Neurospora crassa OR74A: one gene and its partners. The main gene of each other region encodes a partner of the protein of the gene in region 3 in a complex. Links are inferred from orthologs where the notes say so. Each region holds a gene or a part of one and is shown on either strand. Other genes may lie near its edges. The genes, in order: pcn, NCU08427 and NCU06767.

The links.
Region 1: the proteins of NCU06767 (region 3) and pcn are in contact, whole or in part, in a crystal structure (PDB 1SXJ), measured with the Saccharomyces cerevisiae proteins. The link is inferred for Neurospora crassa OR74A from reciprocal best matches to the Saccharomyces cerevisiae genes RFC1 and POL30. Residues at the interface, in NP_014860.1 of Saccharomyces cerevisiae: Lys331, Asp373, Ile374, Leu375, Ala390, Gly391, Asn394, Ala395, Leu396, Asp397, Asn398, Met399, Ser400, Val401, Val402, Tyr404, Phe405, Lys406, His418, Phe419, Ser448, Thr449; in NP_009645.1 of Saccharomyces cerevisiae: Val40, Asp42, Ser43, Arg44, Val45, Leu46, Leu47, Asp124, Leu126, Lys127, Ile128, Gly208, Lys210, Tyr211, Glu232, Ala233, Pro234, Phe249, Ala251, Pro252, Lys253, Phe254.
Region 2: the proteins of NCU06767 (region 3) and NCU08427 are in contact, whole or in part, in a crystal structure (PDB 1SXJ), measured with the Saccharomyces cerevisiae proteins. The link is inferred for Neurospora crassa OR74A from reciprocal best matches to the Saccharomyces cerevisiae genes RFC1 and RFC3. Residues at the interface, in NP_014860.1 of Saccharomyces cerevisiae: Glu635, Gln636, Trp638, Ser639; in NP_014109.1 of Saccharomyces cerevisiae: Asp120, Met122, Thr123, Asn124, Ala125, Gln127, His151, Lys152, Leu153, Pro155.

Annotation. Positions count from the first base shown.
Region 1 is NC_026501.1:9,447,283-9,450,558, forward strand, and holds pcn (proliferating cell nuclear antigen), read left to right. Parts: upstream 1-1,112; 5' UTR 1,113-1,348; intron 1,349-1,469; 5' UTR 1,470-1,471; coding exon 1,472-1,513; intron 1,514-1,609; coding exon 1,610-2,329; intron 2,330-2,402; coding exon 2,403-2,420; 3' UTR 2,421-2,775; downstream 2,776-3,276. Other genes in the region: NCU09240 (hypothetical protein), read left to right, coding at 1-411. UniProt on the Saccharomyces cerevisiae protein: This protein is an auxiliary protein of DNA polymerase delta and is involved in the control of eukaryotic DNA replication by increasing the polymerase's processibility during elongation of the leading strand. Involved in DNA repair.
Region 2 is NC_026502.1:4,031,721-4,035,468, reverse strand, and holds NCU08427 (activator 1 subunit 3), read right to left. Parts: upstream 2,183-3,748; 5' UTR 2,052-2,182; coding exon 1,918-2,051; intron 1,857-1,917; coding exon 1,213-1,856; intron 1,150-1,212; coding exon 758-1,149; 3' UTR 488-757; downstream 1-487. Other genes in the region: NCU08428 (MFS transporter), read left to right, coding at 1-85, 150-487; NCU10392 (hypothetical protein), read right to left, coding at 2,596-3,748. UniProt on the Saccharomyces cerevisiae protein: Component of ATP-dependent clamp loader (RFC and RFC-like) complexes for DNA clamps, such as the POL30/PCNA homotrimer and the checkpoint clamp DDC1:MEC3:RAD17 complex.
Region 3 is NC_026502.1:2,004,424-2,008,171, forward strand, and holds the start of NCU06767 (replication factor C subunit 1), read left to right. Parts: upstream 1-976; 5' UTR 977-1,257; coding exon 1,258-1,363; intron 1,364-1,425; coding exon 1,426-1,471; intron 1,472-1,527; coding exon 1,528-1,569; intron 1,570-1,632; coding exon 1,633-3,748. Other genes in the region: NCU06768 (mitochondrial 54S ribosomal protein YmL47), read right to left, coding at 1-16, 101-541. UniProt on the Saccharomyces cerevisiae protein: Component of the ATP-dependent clamp loader RFC complex for the POL30/PCNA homotrimer DNA clamp.

The DNA of each region.
Region 1 (3,276 bases), on a different chromosome or scaffold from region 3:
AAACGTATTTCGTCTATGAGCATGCTGTACTCGCCTGCTACCTCTCTAAGCGGGTTGACCACTGTCGGCGAAGAGAACGAAACCGGCGGCGGAGCGGAGGATGCGCTGAAAGCGCTCACCGGGGAGACGTCTCCCACACGAAACTCCTCGCCAAGTCCCAACGAGCCGGATGTGTTTGAGGCGGTTGCGCTATCGGCTCGGCCCAGGAGTATGCTGACCAGGGAAGAGAGATTGGTGAAAATGAAAGAGGAGAGAGAGATGAGGGCAATGCAGAGAGAGAAGGCGGAAGCGAGTAGGGGCATGTTGAAGGAGTTGGAGATGGTGATTAATCTGAGGCCGAAGAGACATACAACCATGGGACCAGGCGGGGGAAACGGCAGGAGTGCGGCGCCGACGAGGATTTCTTTATGACGACAGACAAACTCTGCGGCATTCGCGCTGTCTTTCTTTCGGGTTTCTTTTCTTTGACCACTATAATCTTACATGGCATCAAGGCATTGCGCGCAGACAAAAGAGAGGGGCGAACAACAACGACGAGAAGGTCAGCTTGCCAGTTTTCTTGAAAAGCAACAACAGCAACAACAACAACAACTTTGGGTAGAATGGCGTTTTGACGGACATACAGACCATGGGAACATTTGAAAGCTGGGGCAGGCAAGCGAGCAATGTGGGACACAGAATTTAACGGCGTTTACACAGTTTATACAGACGATCTTGGGCGGGCATTCTGTAACAAATTCTTTTTTGAGTTGGGGGAGGGTGTAAGATAGGTGAAATAATGTAATAATCAAAATATATTGGAGAATGGAGGTAGAACAGAGTTCGCGCAGAAATGAGGGAGTCGAATAGTTGAAGTCATATCATCGGAACTTGAAGTGAGCAGCATACCTTTGGTTCGACATTGCCGTCGAGACACGATCCAAACAGAAAGAGGGGATTCAGGGCGACAGCTCCCACTGAAAACGCGAAGATTGCGCCTGAAAGCGGACTAACAGCGCTGGAGAACGGGACCGTGCACCGGGAGCTAGCCTGAAGCGGTAAATCAATTAAGCCTAACCCCGGCTCAGCGCGTTTAGCTGCCATTAGCAGGCGCGTCAAGTCGCGAAGTGGGTGTCCCGGCACCACCTGTGGTATTGGTGGTTCCTCTCTTTTTATCGTCCATTGCCTGCCTGTTGCAGCTTTTTGAACAAAACCATAACTCTTCCCAAATCCAAATCTTTTCTTCTCTCTTCTTTCTTCGTCAAACCACGAGCGCCTCTCTCTCCCGAAAGTGATACCCAGCGCGCGCATATTTTCTTCCCTCTTTGTCTTTTTTTCCCCCGTCGAGTTCGGTAATTCACATCCATCAGTATGTCGTCTCTGTCTGAGCGTGAAGCTGCCTGCTCGCTTGCTCGCTGGCCCGGCACTAGGAAGAAAAGCTGGAGAACTGGAGTGATGGGTTGCTGACTGGAGGACTACCACAACAACAGAAATGCTTGAAGCACGGTTGGAGCAGGCGTCGATCCTGAAGAAGGTATGTCATGTCCTCTTCCTGTCAAGTGCTGTCTGTTTCCTTTCCCAGCTAGAAGACCCCCACTAACTCTGTCATGATGATGACGATGATGTCCAGGTCGTCGACGCCATCAAGGACCTCGTGCAGGACTGCAACTTCGACTGCAACGACTCGGGCATCGCCCTGCAAGCCATGGACAACTCGCACGTCGCGCTCGTGTCCATGATGCTCAAGACGGAGACCTTCTCGCCCTTCCGGTGCGACCGCAACATTGCGCTCGGCGTCAACCTGACGTCGCTGACCAAGGTGCTCCGCGCCGCCCAGAACGAGGACATCCTGACGCTCAAGGCCGAGGACGCGCCCGACGTGCTCAACCTCGTCTTCGAATCTTCCGAAAACGACCGTATCTCCGAGTACGACCTCAAGCTCATGGACATTGACCAGGAGCACCTGGGCATTCCGGATACCGAGTACGCGGCCACCATCAGCATGCCGTCTTCTGAGTTTAAGCGCATCACCACCGACCTCATGGCCATGAGCGAGAGCGTCAACATTGAGGCGAGCAAGGACGGCGTCAAGTTTAGCTGCCAGGGCGACATTGGCAACGGCAGCATTACCCTCCGCCAGCACACCAACGTTGATAAGCCCAGCGAGAATATCGAGATTGAGTTGAGCGAGCCGGTTTCCCTCACGTTCTCGCTCAAGTACCTGGTCAACTTTTGCAAGGCGAGCGCGCTGTCGAGCACGGTCAAGATCTGCCTCTCCAACGAGGTGCCCCTTTTGGTCGAGTACAACATTTCGGCTAGCAGCTACTTGAGGTTCTATCTTGCGCCCAAGGTATGTCTTTGTTTGTCATTTTCTGGGTGGTTGTTTTCTGTCAGGCGTGATGCTAACTGGTTCTGATTCACAGATTGGCGACGAGGAGTAAACGCCCCATTTACCTCCAACAACCGAACCACATCTTTGTTACGAACACCACGAAACTATGCCTTCATGTATACCTCGAGTTGCTATAAAATCATGGGGAGGAGGAGAATTGCAAGTCATGTAGAAGATAAGGGGTGATGCAGTGATGAGAAGAAGAAAAGGGATATGAAGAAAAAGAAATCTGTGTTTTTGAAAGAGTCTGGCACTAGTACACTACACACAAATGTTTTAGAGGGCGTTTTGTTCTTTCTGCTGCGAAGATGAATGTTTAGGGGAGACGACGAGGTGTCAATGATTATTGCGATGGCCTCCAACAACACACCTTCACCAAGGAACCCGATGCTGTTGTCGTTTCCTTTTTTTTTTTTTTTTTTTTTTTTTTTTTTGTCTGATGGTTTCTAACATTGATATCGGCAAACTGTCCTCCCTGTATCACTATGGTAATCATCGCTTCTCGGGAGTTCAGCTTGGCGTTGAAAGTAGGTATCTCAGAAGTGGGTTCAATCACAAGTACACCAGTACTGACATCACCACTTCCCGTCAGTCGGCGTGTTTTCCAGAAATCTTCCACCCGACTGTTTTTTTTTTTTTTTTTTTTTTTTTTTTTTTTTTTTTTTTTTTTTTTTTTTTTTTTCATCCGATGAAGTTCCTGGTGTTCACCAGCTTCCCCACATTGTTCATTCAATGTATGTAACTTACCTACCCACCACCTGCGTGACGTCCCCTCCCGCCTACAACAGCCCAGGGCCCGGGGCGCGCCCAGCAGCTGAATGGACTCCGCATTCAAGTTGCCCCTAACCCGCCCTGCAGGAAACTTTTTGGCGGGGCATGGGTGGTTCCTGGGGAAAAAAAAAAGA
Region 2 (3,748 bases), about 2.0 Mb from region 3:
GGAAACGCGGTGGCGACGGGCACGACCAAGGTGGGAGCACGGTTCTTTGCCATGTTCTTGATGCCCATGGGAGCAGTTTCTTCTTGTGAGTGGTTTTTTCGTTGCTTTATCGTAGTTCCTGGTGAAGGTGAGGACTAACAGACCCACAGACCAAATCATCCTGTCGTGGGTTGCCAACTCGTTCCCTCGTCCCATGGTCAAGCGCTCGGCTGCTGTGGCTATTGCCAACATGTTTGGAAACACAGCGAGTATTTACGGGTCATACATGTACCCGGCTTCGGCGGCGCCACAGTACATACCTGGAGGTAGTGCAAATTCTGTAATCTGCCTTTTTGTGGGATTGTTGGCGTTGTTCTTGCGCTACCTGCACAAATGGGAGAACAAGAAGCTGGAGAGGGCCGAGGCGGAAGAGGCTGAGAACCCAGAGACTGCGGCTGTTGCGGCGTCGGGTGATAGGAGAGCAGCGGGATTCAGGTACATCTATTAAGCTGGATATCATTAGCTAGTCTCGCGATGAATAGTGATTACTTATCCATCTATATTTCTTGCCGTATTGTAGCTCTCCGTCGTGATATCCCCCTGCCGTAGGAAGAAAGGGGCATAATATAAAAGGTGGAAATGAGGAGTTGGTAACTTCAGTCGAAGAAGGTAAAATTTGATCGATTGCCCAAACGCCAGATGCTTAAACTCCGAACCATAGATGCAGACAAAACAACACCGAGTAGCTTTTTGCTTTTGAGTCTCAACAACAACAACCCTATCCCATCAGTTCTACACCATTCCGTATCGCACCCACTACCGCACCAGTCTGGATCACCTCTCCGGCTCCGCTCGCTACCCGATGCTCAATCTTGGCAAGTTCATCAAGCCATGTGATCATGACCTGCGGCTTGACTTCCAGCTTGACGATCTCTTCCGACAGAGCGGTGATAATGTCGGCAAGGGCCAAACCTTGTGCAACCTTGAGGGTGTTGATAGTCGACAGACAGGTTGTGACGTCGCTCGTGCTCAAAAGTGTGCTGAGAATCTTTTTGATGGCGTCGGGTGGTGGGGCGGCAACGCAGTCGTAGATGGTTCGAATGGTGATGGTTTCCCGTACAATGTCCTTTTCGGCGATCTTGGGGGCGTTCTTTGGTTGGAGTGGTGTGCCTGGTTGACCTGGGTTAGCTTGAGGCCCGCAACAGAAGGCGAGACGAGGACACCACCACTTACTTGACGCGTGGCAAGCCTGGAGCACGTTTAGTGCCCGACGCATATCACCCTTGCTCAACCGCACCAGCGCATCGGTAGCATCTGGCAGAATCTTGACGTTTTCCTCGTCAATGACCTTGTCCACCAAGACACGAATATCTTTTTCTTTTAGAGGGCTGAAACGGAACCGTGTGCATCTCGACAGGAGGGCTGGGCTGAGCTTGTGGGAGTAGTTGGCAATGATGCAGAAGCGAGTGTTGGCCGTGTACTTTTCCATGATGCGACGGAGGGCCATCTGCGCTGTGGACGTCATAGCATCGGCCTCGTCGAGAATAATAAGCTTGAAACCAGCCAGCCCCGAGCGCGAAGAGGAGGAGCCGAGGGAGAAGATCTGCTTGGTGGAGGCAAAGGTCTTGATTTGCTCGCGCACAACGTCGATACCACGGTCATCGGAAGCGTTCAACTCGAGCACCATCTGGCGCATGTTGGCGGCGCCATAGATTTGTCGGGCCAGGGCGAGAACGGTCGATGTTTTTCCGGTACCGGGGGGACCGTAGAATAGGAGATGGGGGAGTCGGTTCGTGTCGACAAACTTGTTGATGGTTGCGAGAATGTCTTGTTGGCCAGACACATCGGAGAGGGATACGGGGCGGTACTTCTCGACCCTGTCACAGGCTGGTTAGATATTTGATAGGCATATGAAGACATATGGGGGGCAATATCTACCATGGGAGACTGTCTTCTGCTTCAACAGGCAGGTTGGCAGCGCTTCGCTTGCCCTTGGCCGTGTTGGTGGCAGCGAACATGACGTCCTTGGACACTGGGACATCAATGTCCATTTCGTCTTCAAAGTCCGACATGGTGGTAGAATTGGGCTGGGTCGCTGATGTCGAGGCTGATGTGATCTGAAGTCTACTCTGGAGGTTTTGCGCCGACGTGAACTTTATGGTTGGGTGGTGTTTTTTACTTGGTGAGGCCGGGAAAGTGAAGCTGGGAAAACGCGTCGAGAGGAAGGACAGACGCGTCGGGCAACAGGCCCCTCGTGTGGCTGGTTAATTGGTTTTGGGCGCTGAGCCACACACGGTTAGTGGAGTATTGGTACCCCAGCCACAGTTTAATGAAGCTCAACTGTTCTTCCACTCATTCATCCATGGTCTCTGTTTGAAAACTTCAACTTTACAACCTCAAAGGCTCACCCTCACTTCACTCTCCTTGTTCTCTAGGATGGAATCTCTTCACATGTGGACATCCTCTTCTCTTAGTGAACTAAGTTTACTGCTCTCTTTCCAATGAAATTGAACCACCAATCACATCAACGTTCCCACTCCAGTTCTGGGTCGGGACGCCAATATTGAGGATGCCCGACCAAGTGACTCCTTTGGCTACCAGCCTCATCACTCCGTCTCATCCCAACTCAAACCTCTCCCACTTATCTTCAACTCGATCCCAGGTATCTCTGTACATTCGGCCCACACCCGCACGCTCAATGCGAACCCGACCATCCGTCCTTGGATCATCCTTTCGTTCGATCATCATGACGTTGACCACGGCTCTCTTCTCGGCTGTTGCCGCTTGCACCAGTTCCTCTTGCTCGAACTTGTCTGCGTCTGAAAGAAGAATGAACTCGTGTGTACCCTTCGAAATAAGACTCAACCGTTGTTCAACGAACTTTCTTCGGTGGGACCACGACAACCATATGGATCCAATCCACTCGTGATCACCTCCCTCAGGATGTGTCGCATGTGTGATGGCATACCGCGTCAACCGTGTTGGCCGGACCCGAGGTAGTGGAGGGACCGCATCCTCATTGCCTCGGTCCTCAATCATGAGTCTGAACCGAGCGACGCGAGCCTTCAGGTGTAAAAAGTAGGGGTCCGGGCCAAGGCTGATTTCTGCTTGATATCGACCAGTGCTGTTGGCCGAAAAGTCAGCACCCGAGTCGTAGTAGACTGGTATAGTCCACCCGGCCCATGCCCAACTTGGCCACAGGGGTCTTTCTGTCTTCTCATCCATATGGATTCTCTTCGGCTCCCGTCGTGGTCGCCAAAGAAGCCCTGGATGCAGGAGCTCCCCCGTGGGCATCCCGTGCACAAACTCGACATTCTGAGAAAAGAAATGATCTTTGATCACGTTCAAGATACCTTGGATTCCATTCACGCGGTCGGTTATGAATGTCATATTGCGACATGTGTATTGCCCTACCAGCTCGGGATATCGCTTGAGCTGGAACTGCAAATTAGGCCGCAACTCAACCGTGGGAGGAACTTCACTGGGGACAATACTGAAGTTTACCACTTGGTCAGCGGCGGTCAAGTCCAGGTCCCGACACTCGGCTGCAAAGTCTTCGCTCCAAGTGGCTTGTTGACACTGGAAGTGTACCGTGTCATCGACAAAGTACATATACCGCAGGGACAGAATACGCTCCTGGTAGGTCCATCCTCTTTCTTCCCATGTTGTTTTGAGCAGCGCATCCGGCCAGGCAACAGAGCGATTCACGATACCAAGGTCTTCTGAGATCTTGACTTCTTTCTGTCGGGCTTCCCGCGTCCCAGCCTCT
Region 3 (3,748 bases):
CCTTACCCATACGCATCTACACCGGAAATGCATGTGAGCCTCATGTCCGCTAACAGTCGGCATCCGGCCTTCCCGGGCTGTGGGTTGTTCAGCTGCTCACCTCGTTACCGCTGACGTACACACCGACGTTACAAGCAACGCGCTTGTACAGGCGGTACTTCTGACCACGCAACCTCTGCTTGATGGTGTCCTCGGCGAGCTTGAGCTGTTGGGCGCTAATTCTGCGGTGGTGATCGCGCATGCGCAGGCCGTAATCTCCCCAAACCACTGTTGTTCCTTTGGTCGAACCACCCGTCGGCACTCTGGGCCTTCCCTTCATCATCTTCTTCTTTCTGTTGAGGTTGGGCTCGAGCCACGAACCAGCCTGGATGGCGGTCGCAGAGAATAGGCGGACATGGGAGGCGACGGAAACGGGGGTCGGCGCAATGGGGCGACGGACGGCAGAGGTTGCGAGCGACGCGGCACGGAAGGGAGTCGCCGACGAGGATATCCTAAGGCCCTGGAAGGCGCTGAGGAGCGCCGAGGAAGCGTTGTGCTTCATTGTGTTGAAGGTTTGGGTGTGGACCGGACCGGGGAGGGGACGAGTGGTGGACGGAGGACGGAGGGAGGGTCCAATTGGATGCCGGTCGCCGACGACGATTGATACGGATTCCCCGAAGCAGCGCGCGCACAGAGACGGGGACCGGGCAGAGCGACTACCTGCAATGGAAGGTGCTGCGGGCGCGGACGGGGCACGGACGGCACTTCCAAAAATTGTGACCCACCAAAAAGTGTCGGGTGCCGGCCGCGACATGGAATCTGCCGGACACAGCAGACAAGCGGGACCTGGGACTCATTCATTGACTCCTCACAAGAAATACAGCTGCGTGGGCGTAGCTCAAGGCAGCAAGTTGGCGAATTCTTGTAGGACAAGGCCCCACCAGTCGCGACAGGGGAGCAGAGCCCGGACACAGACTCGCGTCATCCACTTCACCTTCGCGTCTCACTCATCATTCAATTGTTACTTCCGTCTTTACAAGGGACAAGAGTCGACCCGTTAGCTCTTTACCCTTCTAGGCCTTTTGTTCAACAACACTTGTTAGGCAGAAGGACAGCTGCCTGGACAACTCAGACACCAAGAACAAAAGTCCCTACTTCCCAACTCCGCCACTATAAGAAGATGCTTGCTGGTGTCATCTGATTGTTACATCTTCCCAACCTTTTGACACATTCAATTTATCATTTTGTATCCAGTGATTTCTTCTCACATACTCCATCATGCCTGCCGACATTCGCTCGTTTTTTGGTCCAAAAGGTGGCGCGCCGCCTGCTAAGCCGGCAACACCAGCACCCAAGAAGGAAGAGGAGAAGAAGACCCGGGGTAGTAAGCTTGAACCATGATCGCCATCACAAGCTTATCACGTTATATTAACAATCTTGTCGCAGGGCCAAGAAAGGTTGTTGAGGACAGCGAAGATGACGAGGTTGTTGAGTAAGCTTAGTGAAAAGCATCTCTTCTCAGAACTAGCATCTAACCAGCATGTGTAGAGTCAAAAAGCCAACCAAGGCTGCGCCAAAGAAGAAAGTAGCGTAAGTGTTTATGAAACACCTCTCAGTTCCATGTCATCCTATTCCTGCTGACAGACTATCTAGGGAACCCGTAAAAGGAGTTGAAACCGATGCTGCCAAGTACTTTGCAACCTCAAAAACAAAAACTGCTGCTGCGTCCCAGTCAACACCGAAAAAGACACCCGCAAAACCCGAGCCAGAAGAACCAAAAGTAGCGCTTCGAACAAGCCCGCGGAAGAAAGCCACCCCCGCTGCCAAAGCACCAGAGCCTCCCAAGACTACTACAAAGAAGACCTCGACTACGAAGAAACCCACGACGGCCTACAAGAGTTACGACAAGGATGACGATGGCGATGCCTACATGGATGATGAGCACGATGCTGGAGAGGACATATTTGCGGCGGAATTCAAGGGTGGCAGCAAGAGGAAAAAGGACGACGACTATGCCGAGGAGGACAGTGACGAGGAGCTCCTCCCCAAGCCCAAGCGAATGGCATCTCGCGCCAAAACAGCAGCCGTAGCCGAGTCTGACGACGAAGACGTCAAGCCTGGACCCAGCAAGCCGAACAAGAAATCTACAACTACTACGGCAGGGAAGCGGAAATCCTCGGTTGTTATAAGTGACGAGGAAGACGAAGAGGAAGAAGAAGTCAAGCCAGCGAAGAAGAAGGGAGCCCCCGCTAAGCCCCGTGCGCCAAGGGCAAAGAAGGATGCGGCGGTTGAAGAACCCGAGGACGTCAAGAAGATCCTCGACAATATTCCCACAATTGAAGCACCAGATGCTCCTCCCAAAGACCCCAACGTCAAGTTTGACTGGAAGACCAAGGCCGCCGGAGCTGGCAATGCGGGTCCACCCCCCATGGCGGGCACTGCCGACATTCCTGAAGGTGAAATTGATTGTCTGGCGGGTAAGACCTTTGTGTTCACCGGCCTGCTCAAGACTATCGCGCGTGAGGAAGCCCAAGCACTCGTCAAGCGCTATGGTGGCAAGGTCACAGGAGCGCCATCCAGCAAAACCGATTTCGTCGTTCTCGGCGACGATGCAGGACCCAGCAAGCTGAGGAAGATCAAAGAGCATGGGATCAAGACCATTGATGAGGAGGGCTTGTTTTACCTCATCAGGACGATGCCCGCCGGTGGTGGCACCGGAAAGGGGGCGGAGAAGGCCAAGCAGAAGCGGGAGGAGGAAGAGAAGAAGGTGCGTGAAGAGGCCGAGAGGCTAGATCGCGAAGAGAAGGCTCTGCGACTGGCGGCTGAGAAAGAGGCCAAGAAGGCCGCTGCTGCTCGCGGTGTTTCTGGTCCCGTCCCTGCTGCTCTGCCCCCACCGTCGTCACAGCTCTGGACAACAAAGTATGCCCCCACGGCGATGAACCAGATCTGCGGCAACAAAGCCAACGTGGAGAAGATACAGAACTGGCTTAAAAACTGGCCCAAGTCTAGAAAGTACAACTTCCAAAAGAGAGGCGCCGATGGTTCAGGTGGATACCGTGCTATTATCATCTCCGGTCCTCCTGGTATCGGCAAGACAACTGCGGCGCATCTTGCTGCCAAGATGGAAGGCTACGACGTGATCGAGAGCAACGCCAGTGACACTCGCAGCAAGAAACTCATCGAGAGCGGTGTTAGTGAGGTCATGACCAACACATCTCTTCTAGGTTTCTTTGGTGGAGATGGTAAGCATGCTGATGCCCGCAAGAAGAAGATTGTTCTCGTCATGGACGAGGTCGACGGTATGTCCGCTGGTGATCGCGGAGGTGTCGGTACTATGGCCAAATTCTGCAAGAAGACCGAGGTGCCGCTCATCTTGATTTGCAACGAGCGCAGATTGCCAAAGATGAAGCCTTTCGATCATGTCGCCTTTGACATCAAGTTTCAGCGTCCCACGGTCGACCAGATCCGCTCGCGTATCATGACCATCTGCCACAGAGAAGGTCTCAAGATCCCGCCACCGGTCGTCAATGCTCTCATCGAAGGTAGCGGTAGGGACATTCGGCAGATCATCAACATGATCTCTACAGCGAAGCTGGATCAGACCACCATGGATTTTGATCAAAGCAAGCAAATGAGCAAGGCCTGGGAAAAGCACGTCATCCTCAAGCCTTGGGATATTTGCCAGAAGCTGATCGGCGGTGGCATGTTCGCCCCTTCCAGCACGGCAACTCTGAATGACAAGATCGACCTCTACTTTAACGATCACGAA